Linked DNA regions of Mus musculus. The protein of the gene in region 2 interacts with the protein of the main gene of each other region in a biochemical or structural test. Links are inferred from orthologs where the notes say so. Each region holds a gene or a part of one and is shown on either strand. Other genes may lie near its edges.

Region 1 (7,068 bases), about 77 Mb from region 2:
GAGAGCATCCTGAGAGTGCTTGAAAGGCCGAGTGAGAAACCTCACCCAGAGGCGGGCTTTTCGGGTGGGTTTTAGTGACTTCTTTTCTCCTCTGGCCAGTGCGTGACCGTGTTCGGACCAAGATGGAGAGAGACATCCTCGCTGACGTGAACCACCCGTTCGTGGTGAAGCTACATTATGGTGAGGCCACCGACCCCGCCCAAGTGCCACTTGTCCCCTCAGTGTCCACCCTTGCCTGCTGCCTTCCTCCATCCCTTGTCCCACCTCTCAGGCCTGGCTGACACAAGCTGGCACTGATCCAGCTGATTCCACGGTGGCTTTCTCCTCTCTTAGCCTTCCAGACCGAGGGCAAGCTCTATCTTATTCTGGACTTCCTGCGTGGTGGAGACCTGTTCACACGGCTCTCAAAGGAGGTAAGCTAGCATCCCACTGCTGGGATATGGCAGAGTCCCGTCCTGAGGCCGATGAAGAGCAATGTGGTGCAGGCCTGTAACTTCCCGGCTCTGTTGAACAATCAAGAAACGTCACCTGCCTCGGAGAGTTTCTCTCAGGATGTGCTGAGGATGACTGGGCCTAAATGTGGCCCTGCTGTAACTTCTGGTTGCTAAGGGATCCCTCAAATACCTGAGAGAGAGTGGCGAGGGGGGTGGGGGTGCTGGCCAAGGGGAAGAAGGCCAAACTCACCCAGGACGCTACAAAAAGATACAAAGGACCCAGTAGAAAGGGATCCTAACCTCATTTCTTTTTTTTTTTAATAGCAAGTTCTTTTTTCTTTTTTAAGATTTATTTATTTATTACATGTAAGTACACTGTAGTTGTCTTCAGACACTCCAGAAGAGGGAGTCAGATCTCGTTATGGATGGTTGTGAGCCACCATATGGTTGCTGGGATTTGAACTCCGGACCTTCGGAAGAGCAGTCGGGTGCTCTTACCCACTGAGCCATCTCACCAGCCCTAACCTCATTTCTAAAAGACAAGATCATGAATCCAATCCAACCTGTGGGGAGAACCAAGCTTGGCCAGACATTGTGACACAGGGCCTGTTCCTGTTGTTACAGCTACTTGGGAGGCTGAGGCAGGTGGATTACAGGATTCAGGCCTGCCTGAGCAACTGAAAAAGTATATGGTAGGGATGTAAGTCATTGATAGAGTGTATGTCTAGAGTATACCAACACCTGACTCAGTCCCTGGGCACAGGGGAGACTCACACTTTCTAAAACAGCAACAACAACAAGGAACTGCTTATACAGGGACACACAGACAGACACGTGAACACATAAGTGTGCATTCAAAGACCAGAGGACAACTTGTAAGAGTAGATTCTCTGCTTCCACCATAGGGGTTCCAAGACTTGGTGACAAGAGTCTTTACCCACAGAATGTCACTCTCTCAGAACCATACTTTCAGTATTTAAAACTTAGCTTAGCTGGGCATGGTAGCGCACGCCTTTAATCCCAGCACTCGGGAGGCAGAGGCAGGCGGATTTCTGAGTTCCAGGCCAGCCTGGTCTACAGAGTGAGTTCCAGGACAGCCAGGGCTACACAGAGAAACCTTGTCTCGAAAAGTAATTAATGCTTAATTAGGCAGTCCATTTCCATGATTCAAAAGACAGATACTCATGGTGAAGTCTCCTCACTACACAGTCTCTCTACCCCTGCAAATAAACATTTTTCTTACTAGTTTCTATTTTAACCTTCTAATGTTCCTTTCTGTATATACGTTCTGTCCATGTTCTGTATACATGTCTACCCCTCCTTTCTTTTTTTTTTTTTCTTTTTTTTTCCTTAGGTATTTTCCTCATTTATATTTCCCAATGCTATCCCAAAAGTACCTCATACCCACTCCCCCCACTCCTCTACCCACCCACTCCCCCTTGTTGGCCCTGGCGTTCCCCCGTACTGGGGCATATAAAGTTTGCGTGTCCAATGGGCCTCTCTTTCCAGTGTTGGCCAGCTAGGCCATCTTTTGATACATATGCAGCTAGAGACAAGAGCTCCGGGGTACTGGTTACTTCATATTGTTGTTCCACCTATAGGGTTGCAGTTCCCTTTAGCTCCTTGGGTACTTTCTCTAGCTCCTACCCCTCTTTTCTTATATGAGACATCATAGTTTCTGCCCGCTGTTCTGTGCCTGGCCTCTAGTGTCAGTGTGTCTCGGACTGTTCTGCATCAGGATGTGAGCAAACTCCTTATTCTGCGTTAAAGCTGCAGAACTGCCCATTTTCCCCCGGGGGAAGCAGTTTATTCCAGTCTTTTATTCCTGGGTGTTTCCATTCTTTGCTGTTTCCAAGCTGTAGCGCAGGGAGTGACTTGTGTATTAGAGAAAGATGTGTTGCATTGACTGTGTCCCCAGGGTAGACCCTCCACACCAAGAGGCCCTGACTGCTCAGTAGGCCAGCTCCTGGGGAACGGGGTAAGCCAGCTGACGGGTGTGTCTTTCCCTGTTGCAGGTCATGTTTACAGAGGAGGATGTGAAGTTTTACCTGGCTGAGCTGGCACTGGGCCTGGACCACCTGCACAGCTTGGGCATTATTTACAGAGACCTCAAGCCTGAGAAGTGAGCAAAGCCCCTGCCATACTGCTGATCTCTCCTGGGCACAGGGACTGCTCTTGGGCCCTTTTAGAACAGGGCCATTTGGGAGATGCTGTGGCGCTCCCAGGAATTTATCTCTCTTTGGGGCTGTCAAGAGGGATGGGTGGTTGTCGCAGGTTGTGGCCAACAGCAGGTTCACTTTAGGTAATTAGGAATTGCCTGGTCGGTACTGCTATTACTAAAGGCTGCAGCCCAGCTGTGGCCCTACTCCATTCCCCTTCCTTTTGGTTTTTCGAGACAAGTGCTTTAATCCCAAGTGCTGGGAATAAAGGCCTGCGTTACTATCACCCAGCTCTAAAGATCATCTCTCCATCCGCTTATCCTGGGGGTTTCGCATGCACTGCCTTCCGGTGCTGTGTTGAGAGCTGGGATAGATTCTGGTGGTAGAGTTAGACACACCCCAAGTCAGGCATTGCGGTACTCAACTGTAGTACCAGCTGCTAAAGAGGCCGAGTCCAGGAGTTCGAAGCCAGCCTGTACAATGTAGTAGAATTGAAAGAAAGACAAGTTCCCTAGCCATTCTAAAGGAGTTACTTTCCCGAGCTTCCATCCTTCCACTTTTCCTTGAGTAGAGTTGGACCAAACCCTTCTTCTGGTCAGGCCCAAGTCTCTCCACCCCAAGGTTACTGCTAGAACCTGCACAGTGCCTGCAGCTAAGGATTCCTGACTCCTGTCTCTCTGTTACAGTATCCTTTTGGATGAGGAGGGCCACATCAAACTCACTGGTGAGTGAAGGGCACCTGCTCCTTTGGGCTCTGGGGAGGATAACCAGGCTCTGTCTGATAGGTCTCAGCTGATGGCTGTGTTTCCTGGGAGACGATGCCAGTTACATACATGCCAAAAACCTAGGCCTTGTTACTTAGTTATTTTTTGTGTGTGTATGGGAGTTTTGCCTATATTTGTATCTGTACCTCATGCATGTGTTGCCCAAAGAGGCTAGAGTTGCCTGCACCTGGTTGTTAACCATCGTGTGGGAGCTGGGAATGGAACCTGGGTTGTCTGGAAGAACAGCCAATATTCTTAACTGCTGAGCCATCTCTCGAGGCTCCCTAGGTCTCAGAGCAGACTGAGCTCTCACTGACAACCTTGGTGATACCTGGCTCCGGTCAGAGGAGCTAAGTGTGGTAGCCGTGGGCGTGGCAGGGATCCTAGAAGTGACTTCTCTGCCCTCCATGCTGCAGACTTTGGCCTGAGCAAGGAGGCCATAGACCATGAGAAGAAGGCTTACTCCTTCTGCGGGACAGTGGAGTACATGGCGCCCGAGGTTGTCAACCGCCAGGGTCACACCCACAGTGCAGACTGGTGGTCCTATGGGGTGCTGATGGTGAGTGTCCGGGCTCTGCTGCACACTGTTGTACTTTGTTTCCCTCGAAGAGCCGCGGGCTTTAGTCCACCTGCCTGAAGTACCACCCCTCACCTAACTTGGGAACTCTCCTCTGCTTCCTTCCTCTGGCTTTAGTGCTGCTCCTGGGTTCTAGGTTGGGAGGGGGGCAGAGGCAGGCACAGGCCTTGCTGCAGCTAGACTTAGACTGTAAAGTCTTAACAGGCCAGCAAGAATCCCCGGACTGCAGCAGGGTAGCCCGGGAAGGAGGGGGAGGGATGTGTGGGAGACAGAGAACAAGGCCACACCTATATGTTTCCTTTTCCCCCCGAAGTTTGAGATGCTGACGGGCTCCCTGCCCTTCCAGGGGAAGGACCGGAAGGAGACCATGACCTTGATTTTGAAGTAAGCACCAACACTGCCTGGCCCTCCAAGTTCTCCCTAATCCCACCCCAGTTGCAGGGCCAGTGAATTGCTTTTTCCCTGTCTGCAGACCCTTGCTGTCTGCCAGGGCCAGTGGGAAGTGTTCTTAATGTCTCTGGGAGGTGAGTTAGTGGCTGGCTTCTCTGGACTGAGCTGGAAAAGAGAAAGGGAAGGGGCTCTGGGACTCCTGGGTGGGGCTCAGCCCTGATGAGACCTGTGGCTGTTCCAGGGCGAAGCTAGGCATGCCCCAGTTTCTGAGCACGGAAGCCCAGAGCCTCCTGCGGGCCCTGTTCAAGAGGAATCCTGCCAATCGGCTTGGTAAGCAACCCCAGCTCAGAGGAGGGGACATGGCGGTGAGGATCAGGGTACAGCTGCAGCCTAGGCCACGGGGCCACATCTAGGACTGAAAGGAGCTGTTGTCCTTTGTGTGAGCAGACAATGCTGCTGGCCACCCTATTTTCTGGTTCCATGTATGGTGCTGGGAGGGTGACCTGTGTGGGGGGAAGGCAGGAACTGAGTCATTCATACCCCCTCAGGGACAAGGACACAGGCCCCCACACAGCTTCTCTGCCAAGGTTGCTGGCTCAAGGGAAGGCGCAGGAGCTTAGGAGCGAGAAAGGTCTCAGGCCTAGCTGTGTCTGTCCCCGCTGCCCGGCACCCAGCAGTACTGTAAACATTTGCTGAGGGATTGAATACGGTTTATGAGCCTGCGCTATGGCAGGGGACCCCACCTTTCCGAGCCCCAGGTTCCTGTGTCAGTGGAGACACTGATTCTGCCCTGGCTCCCGGGGATCTTTGATGAGAGAAGGACATTCCTGTTGTTCAGTGAAGTATACAGTATTTGCCGAGGTTTTTGGATGCTGGCTTTATCTGGATCACAACCAGCTAAGGTCCAGTCCAGGTCCCTGGGTTGAATCGAATGAGCGTTTGTCTCAGGGATAAAGACGAGAGGCAGTAGGAAAAGAAGGGCAGAGAGGAGGGGGGCCTGTGGCGGGAGTGGATGAAGGCCCTTGTTAGATCTCAAAAGAAGTCAGTCCAGCTTCTGTCAGGATTAATGCTTGGACAGGCTTCCCGTCCTGCCTGGCCCCTCCTTCCTCAGTACACCAGCAGAAGCTCCGTAACATAGGAAATACTGAGCGGGCTCCAGGCTTCAGGGTAGTGGGTACTGACGCAGGACATGGTGAACCCCTGCTGCCCTCCACGGTAGCAGCTGGTCCAGAGCCTGGAAGACAGAATGGGTGTCTGAGGTTGGCTTCATTTGGCTTCTTTCAGGCTCGGGCCCTGATGGGGCAGAGGAAATTAAGAGACATATCTTCTACTCCACCATTGACTGGAATGTGAGTGCCCGTGCCTGTGCCCTGTGATGGACGCAGGAAGGGTGGGGGAGGGGCCCCTGCCAACCGTGGCCTCAGCTGTGGGAGGTAGAAGGTGAGCAGCCCTTAACATGCCCTTGGAGGGGTGACTTCACGCCCTTGAAGGCTGCTCTCCCTTGCTGTTATCCACTGAGCAGCATAGCTTCTACTCTTCCTGTCGGGGCTGCTAGCAGGCTGTGGGGTCACCATGGTGACCAGAGCATATACCCCACCTTACAGAAGCTCTACCGGCGTGAGATCAAGCCCCCTTTCAAGCCGGCTGTGGCCCAGCCCGACGACACCTTCTACTTTGATACCGAGTTCACGTCACGCACACCCAGGGGTACGTTCCTGACCTGACTTGTCTGTCTTGGGCTGGGTAGCAGATCTTTGGGGAACCCTGGGCTACAGAGGTGATCGAGGATTCTGGAAGCCCAGGTGTGTGGGTAGATAGGCAGTATCTGGCCCCGTGGGCTTCATGCTCCATCCTGACTTCATGCGACCCGACTACTTCCATGGGCTTCTGTGGGCTGCTTTGTTTCTCGGTGAGGGACTGAAGTGTGGGGGTGGTTTAGGCCACAACAGGAAAGTCAGGACCCCCTGCCCCAGGCATCTTCCAGCCCACTGGGACCACTAAACACACAAGGCCTGCACTTGCATCAGACATGAGGAATCTGACCGGGCAGACCTGTGATGGAGAGGCCTCGGCAGAGCAGAGGAGACGGTGCCCACAGGCTGGATGAGCTGGGAAACCTGACGTCCAGCCAGATACTGCCAGTGGGTGGGGAGGTGTGTGTTAGTTCTGAGGTGTCTTTTTTTTTTTTTTTTAATTTATTTACTTATTTTATGTAAGTACATTGTAGCTGTCTTCAGGCACTCCAGAAGAGGGAGTCAGATCTCATTACGAATGGTTGTGAGCCACCATGTGGTTGCTGGGATTTGAACTCCGGACCTTCGGAAGAGCAGTCGGGTGCTCTTACCCACTGAGCCATCTCACCAGCCCCTGAGGTGTCTTCTTAGAGGGTGATCGTTCCCTCTGTGTAACTTGCACACCATTGTTGACTGGAAGCGCATCACTTCACAGCTGTCTTGTCTTCCCCTTATTTATCTGCCAAGTCCATACCAGGTCCCCGCTCTATGCCAGCCGTAGTGAGAATGGTGGATTGTGAACCAGACAGAACCATGTAGCTCAGGTGTCAGTGGGAAGGATTATAGAGGGTCAGAGGAGCGACATCATCAGGTAGCCTTCTCAGGGAAAGGAAGGTAGCTAAGACTTGAATGATGGACAAGGAGTGGCTTATCTAATCCAGGAGAACGGCGTGTGTAGCGACACCGAGACACTCTTGAGTGTGTGGAGTTCATCGGGACTGAGTTCCCAAA
Region 2 (7,068 bases):
CTGGATATCCTTAAAGATATCCAGAAGCCAAAAACTTCACTAAGCAGCTTTGTAAACAGAAGCCTTTGCGTCAGGCCTGACAGGGCCTCTCGGCACACCTCCTCAGGGGCTCGTTCTGATCATCTTGGTTATTCTTCAGCTTCAGACTGGCTCCAGTGAAAGCCTGTCTCTGATGCCCGTGCTCTATTACCTACTTTTTATAACACTGTGACACAATAATAGAAAGCAGCGACTCAAGGGAAGCAAAGCTGACTCACGGTTCAGAGGATCCAGAATGCCGTGCAGGTGACGTGTGGACACTTGAACGGGATGGAGTGTTCAAACACAAGCACCTCAGACCCCAACTCTAACAAGGGAGACCAGTAGAGGTCAGCCCTGGAGAGTGAGCAAGGGCAGGGTACAGAAGGGCCCAGAGCCTACAGAAGTGACTCTAAAGAGAGCAGGCTTTGGCCTCACAGTGTACATTCTAGAAAGAAGGTACAGAGAGGGAACAGGGAGAACACAGTGGTCAGTCCAGGGTAGGTGGGTGATTGAGGCTAGAGCATGCGGTGCCTTAGCCAGCGACTAGAGAGCGACTTGGCCATGGAGAGCCTCACAGGACACCAGAGTAGACGTAATGGTAGATGCTCTAATGGGAGCAAGATTCTCCTGCATGCAGTGGTCAAGAGGCTATGGCTGTGGGCATCATTTGACACCTGTCTCCTTCGTTAGGTTGTACATACCCAGGTTGCAGTACCTCCTTACTGTCTTGTTCTTTCTGTCCCTGGGACCTGGCACAGGACTTGGTCCCTCTAGACACACAGTCCATTTCATAGTTCCTGTGACTGAAGGGCAGTAGGCAGCCTGATGTAGGACTTTCAGTCTGGAAACCACATCTGCATCCTTCAGATTTGCTCTAGTGAAGAACACAGTCAGAGAGAGAGAGAGAGAGTTGAAAGCACTGAGCAGAACCCTCTGAACCAGGGGCACCAGCAGGGCCCCCCTCCCCATATGAAGCCAGTAGTGCACAAGCAGTCTGTGCCCAGCAAGACAAGGGTGGGAACTCACACACTGGTGAGCAGGTTCTCCCGAGTCCTGTGAAATAGGAATTCCTGTGCTTGCCCCCTCAACACTTAGGGAGGAGACGTGGTCACTGCAGAAGAACGGGACATAAGAGCCTTCTGGTTTGGCCTGCAGTCATTCCCAAAATTCACTAGTTAAACAAATGTATCTGCCAGCAGATTGCTTATAATGGGTGTTTTATAATGGAAATGTGCTGTGTGTGTGCTCTGTGTGTCTGTCTGTCTATCTTCCGCTGGGGAAATATCACTTGAATAAACTTTCCCTTTATCTACTCAATGTCTCTGTTCTAGGATGCTCTTAGCAAGGTCTTGGTATGATCCCAGAGAGCAGTCGATTTCCTTCCTTCCCCCCAGTACTGTGTAGATTATAGTCGCTTGTCATGGTGAATAAAACCTATTTAAAAGGTGAGCTGGCACTGAGCGTGGTGGCACACATTTGTAATCCCAACACTGGTGGGTCAGAGAGGCTAACCTCTGAGGTCGCTGGCCAGCCAGCCTAGCCTCATGGGATTGGTGAGCTCAGGGTCAAATGAGAGATAGACCCTGTCTCAGAGTAAGGTGGACAGCACCTGAGGAAAGACATCGAAGGCCTCCACATATGCACCCACCAGAACACACACACACACACACACACACACACACACACACACACACACACACACACTGGTTTCATTCATCAGTTTTAGTGGTGTACCATAATCTTATAAGAACTTGGCATGCTTACTCCATCTAAATTGTCATAAGACCGTGGCGAGAAAGGCTGTCATGGGCCACCACTCAGCAGATATCATAGGGTCCAAGATCCTAGGCTTTGGAGGCTGAGCTCTAACAGTGACTCCAAACAGTGACATCTCTGCACCTCAGCTTCCTCTTATAGAGGATAACTACATACTATTCTGGACTGTTGCAAAAACCCAGTAGAGACAGTGTTTATAAAGCCCTTGGCAGTGGCCTGGTATATGAAAATATATTTGGTGATGACGAGTGCCTTTTATTCTGTATTATGCACACGTGGCTGTTAAGTAACAGAGCTGGGGCGCATCCAGGCCTGGCCATACTGCTCCACACTGCCCTCAGCTGTCTTCCCCCATGTAGGCACCAGCTCCTGCAGGGCTTCAGTGTCACAAAGAGACTTACAGCAAAGAGTGCGCATGGCCCACGCTTCTGGTTATTTAAAAGCTGCCTCACAATCCAGAGGCCCCGTGGAGATCCAGCTCGGTCAGCTCCTTGAGTTCTGCCAAGACAGACTCCCAGTGGTCTGCCGTCTCTGGATGATGAAATAGAGGACCCGTGCAGAAGAGGGTCAGCCATAGCCCGGCTGAGCCCCGATGTCTCTGTTTGATTTGCACCTTGCTTTATTTTTTGTGCTATGCGTGGTTTTGTTCTGCTTTGCTTTTTACAGGGTGAACATACTCAAAATTTCTTTCAAAAGGAAAAAGTTCTTCATACACCAGCGGCAAAAACAGGTGAGTTCCACTTGCTGTGTTTGCTGCTTTGTTGAGGTTTGTCCTACTCTCAGCTCCTCGGGGATTGCTTTCTGTGTCTTTAGGAAGAAAAGATTGTGGCCGTCAGGTCTTCAGACCCTGTGGCCATCTCTGTGAGTTGGTTGGTGCCTGTGTGGAGAATGAACTTGCTTTATAGTCAGACTCGAGGTGTAGACCCTGCCTCTTCCCCCTTTAACAGCTGAGCATTTTCTTTCATCTCCTCTAGTCCATATTCCCTCGTTTCTAGAAGCTCAAGTAATGAGTGCCCACCTCTCAGGGAGCTGTACGGATTAGACAAAAGGGCCCAGTTTGGGCACCTAGCAGAGCAGAGCAGGAAGCGTCCACATGGCTAAGTTCCAAAAGTGATAGCTTGTTACGGACTGGGTCTTACAGGAGGAATTGGCAGGATCCTAGACAACTCTGTTTGTTTGCTTAGCCACAGCACAAGCACACTCAGTAAAGAAGCCAAGGCTCCCACAGCCTCAGAGTGAAGGAGCTGGAATTTGAACCAAGGCGCCTGCCCTTTCCACACCACGCCCTGTCTTGTTATGCTGCATAGTTGTCACCGACTGCCCCAGCTTTTCAAATATGATATGCCCTTAGACTGGCCCCACACAGAGAACGGACCCTTAGAAATGGGATCACTGAAGCTCAAAGTACCAAGGACTGGAACCTAGACTGTCTGACTGTCCTCCCCCCACCTCTAGTGCACAGGGGGTCAGGGTGGGAGAATATTTCTTCAGGAAAGAGATGTTCACAAAAGCTGAGATTTAAGTTTTCACATGGCAGCAGCAAGTAAGCCCTCTCTTGAACTATAAGCAGGTTTGAAACAGTGACTGTGGAGGACCCCAGACGGTGAGGAGACATGGGTTCAGGCTATTTCTATGACCCCACCCATGGAGGGTTCACAGCTCTGCTCCAAAAAATGATTCCTAGGACACTGGGGTGCATCTGAGGTGTCTGGAGGCCTGCGCCCTTCCTCTGTCACATCTTCCCCGGCTTTTACAGATGGGTAGCGAGCCGGACACACTTTTATCATCCTACCGTTTTCCTGTTCCTCCTCCCAGGCTGAATCCAGGGAACATATCGTGGCCTTCAACATGCTGAATTACCGATCTTGCAAAAACTTGTGGAAATCCTGCGTCGAACACCATTCGTTCTTTCAGGCAAAAAAGTTACTACCTCAGGAAAAGAATGTTCTCTCTCAGTACTGGACTCTAGGCTCCAGGAACCCCAAAAAGTGAGTCTACTTCCAGGGACCATCCACATTATCCTGTGATGTTGATGTGTGCTAGAGGCAGCTCTGGGGCTGGACTCCAGATTTGAGATCCCTGAGTGGCGGCTGAGTCTCTAGGGGAGGCTGAGCTCTTAGTACACACTCGGGTGCGTGTTGCTCTCCCAGGGTTAGCTTCCACACCCTCAACCCTGCTGTCGTCTGAGTTCCCAGACAGCTAGTATTGCAACTGCCACCACGCCCTGTCCAATAAAGGTCACTGAGTGTCATCCTGGTGCCAGCATGGTAGGCTCCTCACAGCTGGAGGCCACTAGACCAACCCCTCCCCCACAATGTGAATCCATAAGGCACCCTATAAAACGAACAGAGGATATATTACCTATTATAGTTACAAAGTAATAATTATAATTGACAATTACCTAGTGTTTATCAAAGGAGGGCATATATTTAATTGTATTTGTTTCTTGTAATGAACCTAAGAGATTAATGTTACCTATAAGAGTGATATTCAAAATACTTAGTGGTAAGAACAGTAAAATAAATGTACATATATGTCATATGCACATTATAATTTTTAAAATAATATCCTTTGGGTCTCTAAATTAACTGTGTTTATTCTAAGCCTGCTTTGTAGAAGACACAGCAGAAATTGTTTATCAAGTTGCTAGGATTTCTAAACCATTTGCTGCTGGTTTTTCAAAACAGTGATTGATTATTGTTAATGTGGATTTTTCTAAATGAAGCTCAAGTATGAGCTATTGTATGATGTGAAATTTTGTAAGAATGTTCTAGTGGCTTTCCTACTATGTGTTAGTCTTTAGGTAATGTAATGATTTAGTAAGTGGCAAATTGCCTCTGGTAGGGGAGGAATTGTTTCTTAGGAACCAATAGCAAAAACATTATCTTTAAAGTGTTACATTATCTTTAAAGTGTTTACCTCTTATATTTCTGTCTACTATTTCTATATTCAATATTCTACTACTGAGCAGGCCATAGGAATAACGTAGCAGGGATACCTGTAGAGCCTTGTCCCCATGATGCCACATGGAAACTGAATCCTTCCTGCGTGGTGGTCCCTCTAGCTAGCCAGAGGCCTCAGATGAGAGCTGTTCCCAAGCGTGATGCAGTCAGCCACCAGCAATAGCCCCACTGTCTGCAGAGGGCTCACCTGCTGCTGTTGCACAGCGCCAGGACTGACTGCCCAGATCGCTGCAGCTGGTGAGGCCATGTGTGCATCTTGGTTGAACACTCCCTGGGTCATGCCCTCCCAGGGGACGTCCCTGATGGAAGTAATCCTGAGCACTCCAAGCCTGGTCTCCCTCACTAGGCGCCTCAGGAACCTAGCGAGTGAGAGCAGCCATAGCCATAGCAGCTCAGTGGGCCCCCTGTCTGTGAGAGTTCCAGGGTCAGGTTCAGGTGCACCAACAGGTCAGATCTGCAGACAGAAGAAGTCAGGTTGAAGAAACAGAAAGTCAGTTTAGCATGAAAATATATAGTTGATCATAAGGCATAGAAGTACCAGTGAGCTTCTCTGCTGTGCATAGCTTCTGTGCTGCAGATGGCCCGTGTGAAGAAGAATCCCACTACAGTCTAGTCGCAGACGTTCAGTGAGACGGCTGCAGTTGACAGGGGGCCTCCTTACTGTTGAAGTGTGTGTGTGGCCCCCACCCAGATGTTGTAATGCTACACATGTTCATTAGAAGGAAGCAGTTTTCTTCCAAAGAAGAGCTGCCTAGACCTGAGTCTCCAGGCGGCAGATGGGAAGGTGGCAGATGAGGGACCGAAAGGGTATATTCCAACACTGTGTTGACAGAGTTCAAATCCTTCTCTACCTTGAGTTTCAGCGTGCTGCCTGTTTCCTTCCCTGCAGACTTCTCCCTCTGTAAACAGTACAGGTGCTGGCTTGGTCCTGCTCATCTACTATGACGTAAGAACTCCTGTGTTGGACATTACAGCAACAGTAGTCTGTTATAGCTCAAGATTTGTGGGTCAGGAATTCAGCAAGGGGACTGGGGACTCTTCTGCTCCATTAGATCTGTCCTGTTACATAGGGATTTTGCCACACACAAGTCATCAGTTTCTTATTGATACCATCTTTTAGTATACTGTTAATTTTGACCAAATACACATACATACATACATATATATACAATTTTTTTAAAAGCTTTATTTAGTTTATGTATATGAGTGCACTGTAGCTGTACCGATGGTTGTGAGCCTTCATGTGATTGTTAGGAATTGAATTTTTAGGACCTCTGCTCTCCAGTCAACCCCACTCACTCAGTCCCTGCTTGCCCTAGCCCAAAGATTTATTTATTATTATACATAAGTACGCTGTAGCTGTCTGTCTTCAGACTCACCAGAAGAGGGCGTCAGATCTCATTATGGGTGGTTGTGAGCCACCATGTGGTTGCTGGGATTTGAACTCAGGATCTTCAGATGAACAGTCAGTGCTCTTTCCTGCTGAGCCATCTCACCAGCTCCATATATTATTTTTCTAATTTTGACTCTTAAATTGTTCTTTTTATTTCACATGTATGTATGTATGTGCAGGTGGTATGGAGGAAAACACATGTAGGCCAAGGATAATTTCTGGAAGTCAGTTTTCTTCTGTCCTGTGGGACTCGGGGATTGAATTCAAGTCATTAGACTTGGTGGCAAGCACCAAGCTAAGCCATCTCCCCAGCCCTTATCCCTTCTGATCATTTGGCAGTCAAGGAAACCACGGCCAGCCCAGCCCTGGAGATACATCTGTAGGTCTGTGTGTTGGGCCCTCTGATAGGTTCTGTGAAAGACGAATCTGTTCATTATTTTCCAGGGACAGTGGCACAGTTCCAAATTTCTATTAATAGCCCCTGACATGTGCTTTAGGGATCTGCCACATTAAGCCTTGCTGCCAGCTTCCCTAACTTTAATTTGACAGCCTTAATCAGTGGTCATGTGGCTTCTGATATAACTGACCTCGGGGGAATAGGTCTCCTGGTGATGCTATAGTGAACTTTGATCAGAGTGAAGGCCGCAGTCGATACTGTAAACTAGAACCGGAATTTCACTGTATTTATTTGTTCTGTTGTTTTCATCAGCTGGTCTTGGGGCATAAGGAAATACATGGAATGTTTAAGACATCAGAGCATGGTGTAAAATTAGAAAATGCCAGAACTGTTACTGCTAACCAGACTTCAGACAGTTTACTAAGGCGATCTATACCTCGGGATGTCAGCTCTCTCTTTTTTTTTTTTTAAAGATTTATTTATTTATTATATGTAAGTACACTGTAGCTGTCTTCAGA
Region 3 (7,068 bases), on a different chromosome or scaffold from region 2:
GTCTTGGTCCTCCGTCTGCATGGAGTAGGGCTTTGTGTGGCAGTAACCCTGAGCCCTGTGGACACTTAGGGACTGGACTTGGACCTGGGGACCCTCTTTTCCTTCCTTTTATGGGTGGTGGGGTGTGGCCTTTAGGGTCTAGTTATGCTTCTCTGTGGTCAGGGTGAGAGGACAAGGTGTGTGTGGGGGGGGGGGCGGGGAGGCCGATTGTTTGGTTTAAGTCCTGGTTCCTGGGTGGCACAAACCAGTCACCCTGACACTTGGAAGGTAGAGGTGGTGGGCTTAGGGGTCCTAAGTCATCCTCAGCTGCATAGCGAGGACTCCTTAAAAAAAATCCCAGTTCTGTTACTTTAGTAGCACAGCATTGGGGGTGACTTGTATAGCTCTGTACCCTAGTTTCCCTTTCTGCTAAATGCAAATAACAGTGTTGTCCCCATAGGAGTGTAGTGACGAGCAAATGATTGCCCTGAGTTCGGGTGCGCACAGAGGGCCTTCCAGGAGTGGTGGGAGATGTCCTTAGAGCTGGGCATCGTAGCCTTGATCGAGGATGACTGGGTAGAGGCTAGGGCACATGGATGTACATTCCCAAATCTGTACAGACAACTACCTCTCCACGGAAGTGGGATCCTGCACTCTGGTCTGTCCCCCGAACAACCAAGAGGTCACAGCTGAGGACGGAACACAGCGGTGTGAGAAATGCAGCAAGCCCTGTGCTGGAGGTACCCACCCCATTCCAAGACCAGCTGCGGCCCCGACCGCCACTCCAGTCCAGTCCGCCCAACTCTTGCTTAGACTTCTTTTCTGCTGTCGCCTCCCCTGCCCCTCTCCGGAGCAGTCTCCCCAGTCTCTCTTGTCAACATAGGGAGGAGGCTTGTCACTTCATGATGGGACAGCGGACAGGTCTCTGGTGTGCATGTGATCCTGAGGTGGCCCCTTTTCACCTCCCTCTCCTTCAGTATGCTATGGTCTGGGCATGGAGCACCTCCGAGGGGCGAGGGCCATCACCAGTGACAATATCCAGGAGTTTGCTGGCTGCAAGAAGATCTTTGGGAGCCTGGCATTTTTGCCGGAGAGCTTTGATGGGTAAGGGTACACAGTGGCCTGAGGTGGTGTCATGGAGGACCCAGAGTTTGTGGCTAAGAATACACAGGAGGCAGGTGGGAGTCCACAGGGAGCCAGGGCATGGAGTTGGAGGTATACATATCATTTAATCCACAGGCGGGGACGTAATGTGGTGATCAAACCATCCGGAGGGGGCATTGTTAAAGTTGTGTGTGTTCTTCCAGGCCTTCTGTATATTGGTGGACACAGAGTGACAGCTTTGACTGGGGAGGTGGTTCATGGAAACTGCCATGCATCCCTTGCTTTGGGGAACCTCTTTTTTTAAAAAAAAATTTATATTCATTGGTGTTTAATCTTCACGTGTGTCTGTGTGAGGGCGTCAGAAGCCCCGGGACTGGAGTTACAGATAGTTTGAGCGGCCATGTGGGTGCTGGGGATTGAAGCTGGGCCTTGTGGAAGAGATGTCAATGCTCTTACCTGCTGAGCCATCTCTTCAGACCTCAAAGCTGACTCGTTCTTACAATAGCTGTCGAGTGGGAGCCAGCAAAGACAGGCAACAGGGCACAGACTTGGGTTTAAAACCTACCTCTGTCTGTCTGTCTGTCTGTCTGTGCCTATCTGACTGTTATTCTTTCTCTTTCTGTATTTGTGTCTGTCTCTGTCCCTCTCTGTTTATTTGACTGTTATTCTCTCTCTCTGTATCTGTGTCTGTGTGTCTGTCTATCTGTGTGTGTGCCTTTGTTCAAAGGACAGTCTCAGGTATGACTCCTCAGGAGCTGTCCATCTTGTTTTTCAAAATAGGGTCCCTCTCTGGCCTGGAGCTCACTAAAACAGGCTACAATGACAACCAGGGGACCCCAGGAACTGTTTTGTCTTTACCTCTCCAGTGCTGGGGTTACAAGCTCAGTATCACATACGGGGTGCTGCTGCTTCCTTCTCCTCTTCCTCCTTTTCTTCCTCCTCCTCTTCCTCCTTCTCTCCTTCCTCTTCTTCCTCTTCCTCCTCCTCTTCCTCCCCTTTCTCCTCCTCCTCCTTATGACAAGGTTTCTCTGTGTAGCCCTAGCTGTCCTGGAACTCACTCTGTAGACCAAGCTGGTCTCAAACTCAGAGATCTGCCTGTCTCTGTAGGTGCTGGAATTACAGTCCTATGTTCGGCTAACATGAGCTCTTTTATATGGTTCTGGGTATTGACTCAGGTCCTCATGTTTGTATGGCAGAGCTCTATGGCTTAGCCTCATTGCCGTCTCCTCTCTTCTCTGTGCCTCAGTGCCTCATGTGTGCAGTGAGGACCATCATGGCTCTATGCTCAAGGCGGTTTATGTGGGCACGCTTAGAACAGCGCTGGATGGATGCCGAGACACCCCTCGCCCCGTGTTTGTATTTTAGCATATGCAGAGATCAGTGTTCTGTGTATCACTGATGGATATTGGGCCATTTTCAAATGTCTTTTCCTACAAACAGTTCAGCTTGTTTCTGCCTCTGGCAGCTGAAGCCAGTGTCTCTGCAGGATATACCGCAAATCAGACTTCTAGACCAAAGGACACAAATATTGCCCTGCCAGACTTTGACCCTGGGCTTTGTGCCTCAGGATGAGAACGGCTTGATAGGCTCTATCTGAAGGCATTTGTGAGGGTGCAGAGTGCTTTGCCAAGGCCTTCCGGGGCTCCTGCCCTACTGACCACTCCTTCTGGTCCCTCTAGGAACCCCTCCTCCGGCGTTGCCCCACTGAAGCCAGAGCATCTCCAAGTGTTCGAAACCCTGGAGGAGATCACAGGTAGGCTGTACGCTCTGGCCTCCTTCGCAGGAACTAGGAGTTCTGGACCTTTCTACATACCAAGCCCCCTCCTCTGCCTGCAGGTTACCTATACATTTCAGCATGGCCAGAGAGCTTCCAAGACCTCAGTGTCTTCCAGAACCTTCGGGTCATTCGGGGACGGATTCTCCATGAGTAAGTGGTGGGGAGGGGAAGGCTAGGAGGTCTGGCTACATGCCCTGAGGCCCTTGGTGGCTAGAGTAGGTGCCTTCTTGTGACTGGAAGCCCCCATTTCCACAGTGGTGCTTACTCATTGACGTTGCAAGGCCTGGGGATTCACTCACTGGGGCTACGCTCACTGCGGGAGCTGGGCAGTGGATTGGCTCTCATTCACCGCAACACCCATCTCTGCTTTGTAAACACTGTACCTTGGGACCAGCTCTTCCGGAACCCGCACCAGGCCCTACTCCACAGTGGGAACCGGCCAGAAGAGGCATGTGGTAAGACAGGAAGCCCAGCACTGAGGGCTGGCACAGAGGAGTCTCAGTAGCCTCTGGCGGCAGCCTCCTATAACCTGTGCATCATGTCTTAGAGCCCCGTTGTTGTTTAGAGACAGGCTCTCACTATGTAGCCCTGGCTGTCCTGGAACTCACTCTGTAGACCAGGCTGGCCTCAAACTCACAGAGATCTACCTGCCTCTAACTCCCAAGTGCTGGGATTAAAGGCGTGAACCATCATGCCCGGCTACAGCCTGGTTCTTCACTTGCCTATGGATGGCTTAGCCTTGAGCATGGCTTCCAGCTGTGTCCTGCCGTGCTGCCAGGCATCCACATCCCTCCCCTGTTTCTTGAACTTGCATGTTCTAGCACCAACCCTTAACCCTTCAGCCTGGAGCCATGCTTACAGCTTTTTCCCTTAGACCTGAGCCTAGCCAAACACTTCCTTCTCCTTGCTGCAGGTCTTGAGGGCTTGGTCTGTAACTCACTGTGTGCCCGTGGGCACTGCTGGGGGCCAGGGCCCACCCAGTGTGTCAACTGCAGTCAGTTCCTCCGGGGCCAGGAGTGTGTGGAGGAGTGCCGAGTATGGAAGGGGTACGAATTGCAGAGGAGTGGGTGGCTTGAGGGGTACTCGGGGTACTCTGCCCCACCCCAACCCCTTACTACACCCACCTCTCTCACAGGCTCCCCAGGGAGTATGTGAGGGGCAAGCACTGTCTGCCATGCCACCCCGAGTGTCAGCCTCAAAACAGCTCGGAGACCTGCTATGGATCGGTGAGGTGCTGGTGTGCTCGGGGCTGGGGGAGGGACGAGCTGAGGGTCCATCCAGTTGCTACAGGGTGAAATATTCCCAGAGAAGGCTTCACTGGAGAGCAGAAGCAGGGAAGATCAGGGAGGCTGGGACTGGGGACTAGGAACTGCTCACATTATGCTGTGGACCCTGGGCTACCCCTTCTTGCTATTGACACCGGAGCCCTTTCAGGCTAGGACAAGGTTCCAAGAAGGCCTGTGTCTTTGGCAGTGGCTACGCTAATGACCAAATGCAGGCCCTGTTTCCAGCCTCAGTTTTCACTTCTATAAGGTGAATGTTGTAATAGTTCCTCCCTGGTTGGGGTGTGGTGAGAACAGAATTAAATAGGATTTGGCACAGTGCCCAAGCATGGAATAAAACCTTTGTACATAATAGTTGTCACTTGTCACACCTTAGGGAACGCACGTCCCTCTCTGGGCGCCTTCACTTCCTTGTTGAGAGCAGGGATGTTTACTCCAGGATCAGGGAGGCAGTGCATCTGATTTGGGGACATGGGGCCCCATCCTTCTGCTATAACGATGACATCCCTAAACCCTCACAAACCCTTCCTCTCTGTCCAGGAGGCTGACCAGTGTGAGGCTTGTGCCCACTACAAGGACTCATCTTCCTGTGTGGCTCGCTGCCCCAGTGGTGTGAAGCCAGACCTCTCCTACATGCCTATCTGGAAGTACCCGGATGAGGAGGGCATATGTCAGCCATGCCCCATCAACTGCACCCACTCGTGAGTGGAGGGAGTGGAGTCTTTTCTGTAGAAAGGAGGGCCTTCATGGGGGGAGCCTTTTTTGAGCTCTTGTTGTGAAAGGGGCAGAAGTCTACGTTCACTTATATTGAGGTGTAATTTTTTTAAAAAGATTTATTAATTTTATGTATGTGAGTACACAGTTGCTCTCGCCAGACACACCAGAAGAGGGTATCGGATTCCATTACAGATGGTCGTGAGCCACCATGTGGTTGCTGGGAATTGAACTCAGGACCTCTAGAAGAACAGTCAATGCTCTTAACTACTGAGCCATCTCTTCAGCCGGAGGTGTAATTTTTATCTCTTTTCTAATTACAAAAAAATAACACCTTAGGGTCTGGAGAGGTGGTTGTGTAGTTAAGAGGACTCGCTGCTTTCAGAAGGCTGGAACTTGGTTCCTAACACACACTACAGGAGACCCTTGATTGCCTGATAACTAGCTTGAGGAGATCTGATGTCTTTTTCTGGCCTCTGCAAGTGTACACAACACACACACACACACACACACTCACACACATTCATGTAAATAAAGTTAAAAATAACACATTAACACATAGCTCAGTAAGTAGAGGCACTTGCTCATAAGCCTAGTGATTTCACCTAAGTTCCCAGGACCCACATGATGGAAGGAGAGAACCAACTCCCAGAGCTTGTCCTCTGACCTCCACATGCCTGTTGTGGCACATGCATGCCTTCCAAGTTCCAAGCACAAACACACACATACATACACACACAAATAAATAATGTAACCGAACTAAATCTGTACAGTAGTGCATTAGAAATTTTAAACTACACATAAGATATAAAATAATACTGTTGGCGGTTCTACTGTGAGTACTTTGAGTTGTTTCCCCAAGTCCCTAGTGCTGGAGACTTTGTGGATGTCAGAAGACAATCTGAAAGAGTCAGCTCTTCCCTTCCACCCTATGGGTTCCAGGGATTGAATGCAGTTGTCAGGTGTGGTGGCAAGTACCCTTACCTGCTGAGTCATCTTGCCAACTACCAACGTGTGGCCGTTTCTTTCTTTTAGGTGTGTGTGTGTGTGTGTGTGTGTGTGTGTGTGTGTGTGTGTGTGTGTGTGTGTGTATGTGTGTGTGTGTGTGTATGGAGTTTCTACTGCTGTGATAAACACCACAATAAACAGTAACTTGGCGGGGGAGGGTTTATTTAACTTATATCTCCACATCATAGTCCCATCCAGGGAAGTTGAGGCAGGAACTCAAGATAGAAATCTGGAGGCAGGAATTGATGCAGAGGATGCGACCGGACTCTGCTTACTGGCTTGCACGGCATGGCTTGCTCAGCCTACCTTCTTGCAGTACACTGGACCACTAGCTCAGTAGTGGCACTGCCCACCAGGACCTGTGCCTTCCCATAGCAACCATCAATCAAGAAAATGTGCACAGGCTTATACCGGCTTGCACAGGCCAGAATGGTGGAAACATTGTCTCAATTAAGGTTCCCTCTTCCCAAATGGCAGTAGCTTCCATCAAGCTGACTTAAAAGTGCGGATTGTTTTGCCTGCATGAAGATCTGTCTGGTGCCTTGTGTAGGCCAGAAGAGGCAGTCGGACCCCCTGGACCTCGAGTTATGGAGGGGTGTGAGCTGACATGTGGGTGCTGGATTATCAAACCTGGGCCCTCTGGAATAGCAGTCAGTGCTCTCACCTCCTAGCCATCTCTCCAGTCCTCTCCTCTCCCCATCCCTCCCCTCCTCCTCCCTCTCCCTCTGTCCTCTCCTGTCCAGACAGGGTTTCTCTGTGTGCCCTGGCTGTCCTGGAACTAGCTTGAACTCAGAAATCTACTTACCTCTGCCTCCGAGCGCTGGGACTAAAGGTGTGGGCCATCACCACCCAGCTTGCCCTCATTTCCTGATATAATCCAACACTTTCCTTCATATTCTGTGCTCTGCCTTTCACCCACTCTCTGTATCTTTTCCTACAAATGTTTCTCCATCTACCCTCTACAGATGTCCCCCTTCATAGCACATCACTCAGTACAGGCCCTATTTGAGGGATATCGTCGCTCTTGCTTGCCTATTTATTTATTTCATCCTGACTACAGTTTTTCCTTCCTCCCTTCCCTCCTCCCAGTCCCCCCAACCCCCAGTCCATTCCTCTTCCCCTTCTCCTCAGAGAAGGGCAGGCCTCCCATGGATATTGATCAGCCATGGCATATCAAGTTACAGTAAGACTAGGCACCTCCTC
Region 4 (7,068 bases), on a different chromosome or scaffold from region 2:
AGATGCCTGATACTGACCTCTGGCCTACACGCACATGCACACGCACACACACACACACACACACACACACACACACACTACTCTTTAGTAACAAAAAAAAAAAATTAAAGAACTCTTAGCCAGGTGGTGTTGGCACCTGCCTTTAATCCCAGCACTCAGGAGGCAGAGGCAGGCAGGATCTCTGAGATCAAGGCCAGCCTGGTCTACAGAGCGAGTTCCAGGACAGCCAGGGCTACACAGAGAAACCCTGTCTGAAGGTTGGGGGAGAACGCTTAGACACAGAATACTAGTGGGACTAGAGAGATGCCTCAGCAGCTGAGAGTGCTTCCTGCTCTTCCAGAACACCGAATTAAGTCCCCAGTACCCATGTCAGACAGCGCCAAGCTACCTTTAGCTCCAACTCCAGGGGACCCAACACCCTCTTCTGGCCTGAGGGTACGGTACCCCTATGTACATGCGCAGACCCCCAACACAGACATACACGTGTGCAAATATAAAAATAAACCTTAAAATAAGAGAGAGGGGGAGCGTAGGCAGAACCAAGCTTGTGGCTCCAGGGGAGGCCTGGGGAAGGGTTAGGTTTTGCTGGGGACCCAGTGGGACTCCCCTGGAAAGTTGGTCTCACCACCACGAATGTCTCCTGAGCTCCTTTTGAATTCTCACAGTGGGCCCCAACTGTACAGACGATGAAGAGCCAATGCCAGAGCCCCCACTCCTTCACGCAGCCTCCTTCCCTCTCGGCCGCAGCCTTGTGAGGTGTGCTAGGTTCTGCTGATGCCGGCTCACTGGACTTGAGGGTCACATTTGCAGACATGATACAAGCTGGTTGTTGAACACAACCTTTACGAGAAAACCAAACTTTATGACTAAGTGATGCTAAAACACATGAGCCTGGCGTGCTTTTTTACCGCCCGGGGGGCTGCCGTCTGTGCTGTGTGCGCGTTAACACTGTGGGTCTTGCCTCTCTTCCCATCGGTCACAGCACGGCGCTGGGAACATTTACATCAGAGAAATCGGCAAATACAGTAGGGATTTTTCTTTTCCTTCCGGAGAGCGAGTTGTTAGTCCCTCACCGGAACAGTGGTAGAAAGGATCTGTCATTACAGGCAAGATGCTGGTCCTCTGAGCGGCAGGACACAGACCAGCCTTGGGGTCTAGAGTCTGAAATGTATGTTTTTGAGCAGTGAACCATCTCCTAGCCTTACCAGACAAGAGGCCTCAACTGAGAAGGCTAACATGGCCTTCATGGTGTTTCTCCTCCATCCCCAGCCCCTACCTGAGGCCTTCCCCTAGGCCACCCAGCCTTTTGAGCACTACTGAACAGGTGGGCTGGGGCCTGCTTGCTTCTTGTAGGAGGCTGATCCTGGCCTAATTGAGATGGGAGTTCTTTGTAGCTGAAGCAGATCACCAAATCTGATGACCTTCATGGTCTCTTCCTCACAGGCGACATTTAAAGGCTGGATGGACATCATGTATGCGGCTGTGGACTCCAGAGGGGTAGGTTGCCACCAGCTGTGTGGGAGAAGCCAGGCAGGGCGGTCACCCAGGTGGGAGGGATGGGGCCACAGTGGGGTTGGTGTGTGTGTGGGGGGGGTGGTGGCTGTAGTGAGGCCATCAAGTGCATGCATGTGTGCATGCGTGTGTGCATGCGTGTGCATGTGTGTGTCTATGTGTGTGTAGCCCACAACAAAACCAGTATGTGGGCCTCCTGGCCGCCCGGCCTGAAAGCCCAGCCTGTGGATGGAACAGAGCATGCCTAAGGTTCAACTTCCTAGTGTTCAGGCCTGGCCCTGGAGCAAGGCTGTGGGATCTCTCATGCAGTCCCCAGTCTAAACACATTTCCGATCCCACCAGATCCAGCCCATCATGATTTGTTCATTGCTCAGGACAGGTGGAAGCAGCAGGCAGAGATGAATTTCTCCTTGGTCCTTGTGCCACACCCAGTCATACAGATGCTTGAGGGGAGAAGACCGAGAGAGAGCTTAGTGTCACCCAGGCCCCTATGGACCCAGGGCCTGGACACACAGATATGGGGGTCACCCCTTAGCCTGTCATTGCCTGCCATCATCTTCTCCACTCAGCTCTAACACACACAGAGACACACATAAATGCACACACACAGTCCCACTCCACCTGTGTGACCGCCTCCGCCTGGCTTCTCCCCGTAGTAAGAGGAACAGCTGCAGTGGGAGGACAACCTCTACACATACACACATGTACTTACACACACGTAGACACACACAGACACACACGCATGCACACCTGCATGCACTTGATGGCCTCACTACAGCCGCACACTCACACACCAGCCCCACTGTGGCTCCATCCCTCCCGCCTGTGTGACCGCCTCCTGCCTGGCTTCTCCCCGCAGTATGAAGAGCAGCCGCAGTGGGAGGACAACCTCTACATGTACATCTACTTCGTCGTCTTCATCATCTTCGGCTCCTTCTTCACCCTCAACCTGTTTATTGGTGTCATCATTGATAACTTCAACCAGCAGAAGAAAAAGATACGTAGAGTACTGGCTCCGCCAGGGGAGGGGGCAGAAGGGGACGGGGAGCCAGAGGTCCCCATCAGACCTCGGGGATGAACCTCTTTATTCAGATGAAATAGGGTGGGGAGGGGTGTGAGGTGGCCATGAGGAACAGAGGGGACTTCAGTGGGTCTCCGCCTGCCCTCATCTAGCTAAGAGATTCAGGGGTGAGACTGTGCAGAGGCCCAAGGAGATGTACCAGAAAAGCCATTGATTAGCAGCAGCCAAACTAAGTGATGCTCAGAGAGGAGCCTAGGCCTGCCTGAGCTGAGCCAAGGGAGAGGCTCAGGTGAACACTGGATCTGCAGGCCACAAAACCAGAAAACAGGGATGGGGGGACCCTGGAAAGGCAGATTTGGGGGGATCTCTCCAAATATACCTTTGAGACAGGAAGTTACCTTCACTTGGGAAGCAAGGTCCTGAAAACCCCAAAATTATGCGGGTGCTGTCTTTCTATACTTAGGGGGCCAGGACATCTTCATGACGGAGGAGCAGAAGAAGTACTACAATGCCATGAAGAAGCTGGGCTCCAAGAAACCCCAGAAGCCCATCCCACGGCCTCTGGTGAGCCAGGCTACCTGGCAGAGTCAGGAGGGTCTCACGGGAGCCCTGGGCTCCTCCATCAGAGAAGCCTCCCATTAAGGGCTCTTCAGGCTGCTGCTCAGCAGAGAGGGACTCTGGGATTGCTCTCCCACACAGAAGTCCGAGCCTCACGCAGATAGGGGGAAGGCATGAGGTCAGGTGGTGACATCTAGGGCACACTACATACTCACAGGAACTCAGCTGCTTCCAGTGAGCCCCCTCCTCCCTTTCAGTGGTATATATTCTTTCCAGGCAGTGTAGTGGGCATTCACATCCCTCCCCCCCACTCACAATCTCATCCTCTGAACACTGGGCTCCTTGGAGAACTGGGTTTGTCCCCTCGAGTAGGGCCAGGGTGGTGCTGGGCTCTCTGCTAGCCTGACTTTCTTGGCCCATTCAAGCCATTCTTCTTGAAAATGGGATGAGGAGTTGGGTCATGGCGGTACCTGCCAGTACTTGGGAGGCAGAGGCAGGGGGATCGCTGTGAGTTCAATTCCAGCCAGGGCTACGTATTGAGACCTTGTCCTGAAAATAACAAACAAACAAAAAAAAAAGGGAGACTTGTTCAAAGTACTTAGGTGAGCTGGCCCTAATCCACAAGCCAGTTGGACAGAGCTTTCCTCCTCCTCCTCCCTATGCATCCTATTCCCTCCTAGATTGGGGGTGGCAAACCAAGGGGGTGAGGAATGAACATCATTCTTGATCCTCCCTCTTCCTTCAGATCATCCGGGCTCCCTTACAATTGGTGGCACACAGAAGAGCTGGAGAATGGCTGGGTGGTTAGAATTGTGTTCTGTTCTTGCAGAGGACCTGACTGCAGCTACCAGCACCCACATCAGGCAGCTTCCTCACAGCTGTGTGGAACTCCAGCTACAGGGGTCCAATAACATTTTCTGTATCCCACAGGCACCTAACCTGCATTCACGTGTGTGCATACCTATATGCAGCCATACACGTGCACATTTCTAAAGTAAGATGTTTTTAGAAACACATAGATAGAATTTTACTCAATAGAATAAATAACATCTACTCCATAAGATAACATGTCGAAAATATGTTAATCTGGAGGCATATACAAGTGCTAGGATTGAAGTTTAAATTTGACCTTGAATCTCCAGATTATGAGGCCCAGGAGCAGCACATGGATAGTGTGCTGAAACCCAGGGTAGACATCTACCTGGAGGTGCATTAGGGTGGACTGGCAGAGGAGGGAGCCGGGGGCCAGGCCTCTGCCTGGAAGAGATGGAGTCCACAGGCAGGAAGGCCATCTGGTCAACCCCCATGGTTTCCTCCTCTACACATGCTGTGTGGTGAGGGTTGGGGGCTGTAGTCTCACAAAGGGTGAGTAGGATGTAAGTTGTCTGGGCTGACTGGCAAGTTTTCTAGGATCCCAGTGCACTGAGCCTCTCGCCTCTTCTTCCAGAACAAGTACCAGGGTTTCATATTCGACATTGTGACCAAGCAGGCCTTCGATGTTACCATCATGTTCCTCATCTGTTTAAACATGGTGACCATGATGGTAGAGACAGATGATCAGAGCCCTGAAAAAGTCAACATCTTGGCCAAGATCAACCTGCTCTTCGTGGCCATCTTCACAGGAGAGTGTATTGTCAAGATGGCTGCCCTGCGCCACTATTACTTCACCAACAGCTGGAACATCTTCGATTTCGTGGTTGTCATCCTCTCCATCGTTGGTGGGTATGCAAGTTGGCTGGACGGGGAAGTCCTGCCCGGGTCATGTGTGTCTGATCCAGCCCTCTGCACTCTACTTAGTGCCGTAGCTCCTCATCTGCTATGTCTTCCTTGACTTCCCCTTAGACACACACACACAAGCACACACACACACACACACACACACATACATATAAGCAAACGAAAGCAGGCACACGTACACATACAAGCACACATAAGCACACATGCACAAGCATGCACACACACACACAATATACCACACACATGTACATCCCCTCACATGCATGCTTGCACACACATGCACAGACCTATGCATCACTCTAAAAAGAACTTGACTGTCAGGGCCCATTCAGGCCTAAGTTTACCTGAAGAGAACTCAGTATCCCATCCTGACCCTACCCTCCCTAGGACACAGCTCTGTGGCTATTCAGAAAACTTAAAGCTGAGGCTAGAAAAAGGAATGGCCACTACAGAGACTCTCCTACCCTCCGAACAGAAGCTTGCAGCCGAGGCTGAAGGAAGAAGAGGCAAGGCAGGTCCCTAAGAATGAGAGATAGATCACGTGATAGTGTAGAAGACATCAATCATCTCTGGAGATGGAAAACTCTACAGTCCAACATGTGTTCTAAGTTACAGAACCACCTGCCTCCTGCAGTTTTCCTGAGGGGGGACAACACAGGATGAGAGAGTAACACAGACAAGATCCTCACCATGTCTCTTCAGCCCCAAACCCAAATTCTGTTTTGAGGGGAGGGGTTCTAGACAGGGTTTCTCTGTGTAGTCCTGGCCATCCTGGAACTTGCTCTGTAGACCAGGCTGGCCTCAAACTCAGGGATCCATCCACCTGTCTCTGCCTCCCAAGTGCTGGGACTATAGGCATGCACCACCACCACTCTGCTAGAATCCAAATTCTAATATGACAGCTTTATTGAGACGTGATTCATGTACCATAAAATTCACAGAAGGTTAACTTAAAATTCCCTTGACAGTGTGCATTCTGTGGGTTTCCATATCATTAGGCACTGCTTAACCAGGGAGATGTTCTGGAAGATGTGTCATTAGGCGATTTCCTCATTTTGTGAACATCACAGAATTTACCTAACACAAAGACGGCTGCCAGGTTACCGAGCAGTGTGACCCTGTAGGAGGGTCTACACTACAGTCTGCCATTGACTTGATGGTTGTTACGCAGAACATGACTAGATTGTCACAGAGCTGAGAAACCATCAGCAGTGGATAATGTTAGCCTCTTTCCATGCCTGCTCCCCCTCAGCTCCTGGCAGCCAGGAAATATCCAAGAGTTGCCGAACCATTTTCCAAAGTGGCCGCACCATTTGCCCAGTCACCATTGGTGGTCAGAGCTCCCATTAATCCACCTCCTCACCGCCATATGGCTGCTTATGGCCATCCTGATGATATGGCACTACCTCACTGGTGTCTGGATTTCTAATGCCCTGGTGGCTAATGACACTGAATGTCTCTTTTGTGTTTACTAGCTATCTGTTTATCTTGCATAGAGAATAGCTATCTCAAAACTTTTATTCTTTTTTTAAAATTAAAGTAATTTATCGTATTTATTGTCTTGTTCTAAGAGCACTTTATCTATTCAGGATTCCAATCCCTTATCAAATGTACAAATCAAGAATATCTCCTCCCTCTCTCTGCTTTGCTGTTTTGGTGACGCCTGTTGAAGCAGAAGTGATTTGGTTTTTCTGTTTTTGTTTTTTTGTTTTTTTATCTTAATGAGGTCTAATTTGACCCCGTATAATTTGTCTTTGTTGCTGTCAATACTTGACATACACACCCATAAGTACACATCTGTCTTTGGGGTCATTCTGACTTTGCCTTTCTGCCATAGATGTCATGTACCTCTGGCAAATGCTATCAGAGGTTAGGGCAGGTTCTTCTTTCACCGCAGTGATGGGCAGGCATTTAGAACATGAGGTAGGTTTGGAAATGTCCCAAGGCCCCACTTGGGTGGCAGTAAGGATGGCAGTGTGCCTCATGGGGCTAGAAAGCAGTGTAAGGGATGCAGGATGTCAACTCGAGCAGACCACTGGCGTCTCAGAGGCTTTGGGAGGTACAGCGTGTATTTCCGAATCACCTGCTGGTCCCGGTGCTGGACCAGCCCAGAGTGTGGCCAAGAGCTGTCATGGAGCGAGAGCGTCTAGGTCTTGTTCCAGCTTGTCACTCGGGCTAGTTAACTTCTCTCGGCTCCATCTGGGAGGGAGCCTACGGCTGACTGTCCTAGGGCTCTGGGA

What was found.
Region 1: the proteins of Ptpn3 (region 2) and Rps6ka1 interact in a test that uses a peptide from one of them, tested with the Homo sapiens proteins (2 studies listed by BioGRID and IntAct). The link is inferred for Mus musculus from reciprocal best matches to the Homo sapiens genes PTPN3 and RPS6KA1.
Region 3: of the proteins of Ptpn3 (region 2) and Erbb2, one has a biochemical effect on the other in vitro, tested with the Homo sapiens proteins (2 studies listed by IntAct, with this or other methods). The link is inferred for Mus musculus from reciprocal best matches to the Homo sapiens genes PTPN3 and ERBB2.
Region 4: the proteins of Ptpn3 (region 2) and Scn5a form a complex in vitro, tested with the Homo sapiens proteins (2 studies listed by IntAct, with this or other methods). The link is inferred for Mus musculus from reciprocal best matches to the Homo sapiens genes PTPN3 and SCN5A.

What each region holds. Positions count from the first base shown.
Region 1 is NC_000070.6:133,862,611-133,869,678, reverse strand, and holds part of Rps6ka1 (ribosomal protein S6 kinase alpha-1), read left to right. Parts: intron 1-99; coding exon 100-180; intron 181-333; coding exon 334-413; intron 414-2,449; coding exon 2,450-2,556; intron 2,557-3,279; coding exon 3,280-3,317; intron 3,318-3,773; coding exon 3,774-3,916; intron 3,917-4,247; coding exon 4,248-4,318; intron 4,319-4,565; coding exon 4,566-4,654; intron 4,655-5,608; coding exon 5,609-5,673; intron 5,674-5,928; coding exon 5,929-6,031; intron 6,032-7,068. UniProt on the Homo sapiens protein: Serine/threonine-protein kinase that acts downstream of ERK (MAPK1/ERK2 and MAPK3/ERK1) signaling and mediates mitogenic and stress-induced activation of the transcription factors CREB1, ETV1/ER81 and NR4A1/NUR77, regulates translation through RPS6 and EIF4B phosphorylation, and mediates cellular proliferation, survival, and differentiation by modulating mTOR signaling and repressing pro-apoptotic function of BAD and DAPK1.
Region 2 is NC_000070.6:57,236,245-57,243,312, reverse strand, and holds part of Ptpn3 (tyrosine-protein phosphatase non-receptor type 3), read left to right. Parts: intron 1-2,463; coding exon 2,464-2,527; intron 2,528-3,612; coding exon 3,613-3,785; intron 3,786-7,068.
Region 3 is NC_000077.6:98,424,141-98,431,208, forward strand, and holds part of Erbb2 (receptor tyrosine-protein kinase erbB-2 precursor), read left to right. Parts: intron 1-599; coding exon 600-719; intron 720-956; coding exon 957-1,083; intron 1,084-2,762; coding exon 2,763-2,836; intron 2,837-2,919; coding exon 2,920-3,010; intron 3,011-3,115; coding exon 3,116-3,315; intron 3,316-3,773; coding exon 3,774-3,906; intron 3,907-3,995; coding exon 3,996-4,086; intron 4,087-4,683; coding exon 4,684-4,844; intron 4,845-7,068. UniProt on the Homo sapiens protein: Protein tyrosine kinase that is part of several cell surface receptor complexes, but that apparently needs a coreceptor for ligand binding. Essential component of a neuregulin-receptor complex, although neuregulins do not interact with it alone.
Region 4 is NC_000075.6:119,487,490-119,494,557, reverse strand, and holds part of Scn5a (sodium channel protein type 5 subunit alpha), read left to right. Parts: intron 1-1,443; coding exon 1,444-1,497; intron 1,498-2,371; coding exon 2,372-2,509; intron 2,510-2,992; coding exon 2,993-3,097; intron 3,098-4,538; coding exon 4,539-4,809; intron 4,810-7,068. UniProt on the Homo sapiens protein: Pore-forming subunit of Nav1.5, a voltage-gated sodium (Nav) channel that directly mediates the depolarizing phase of action potentials in excitable membranes.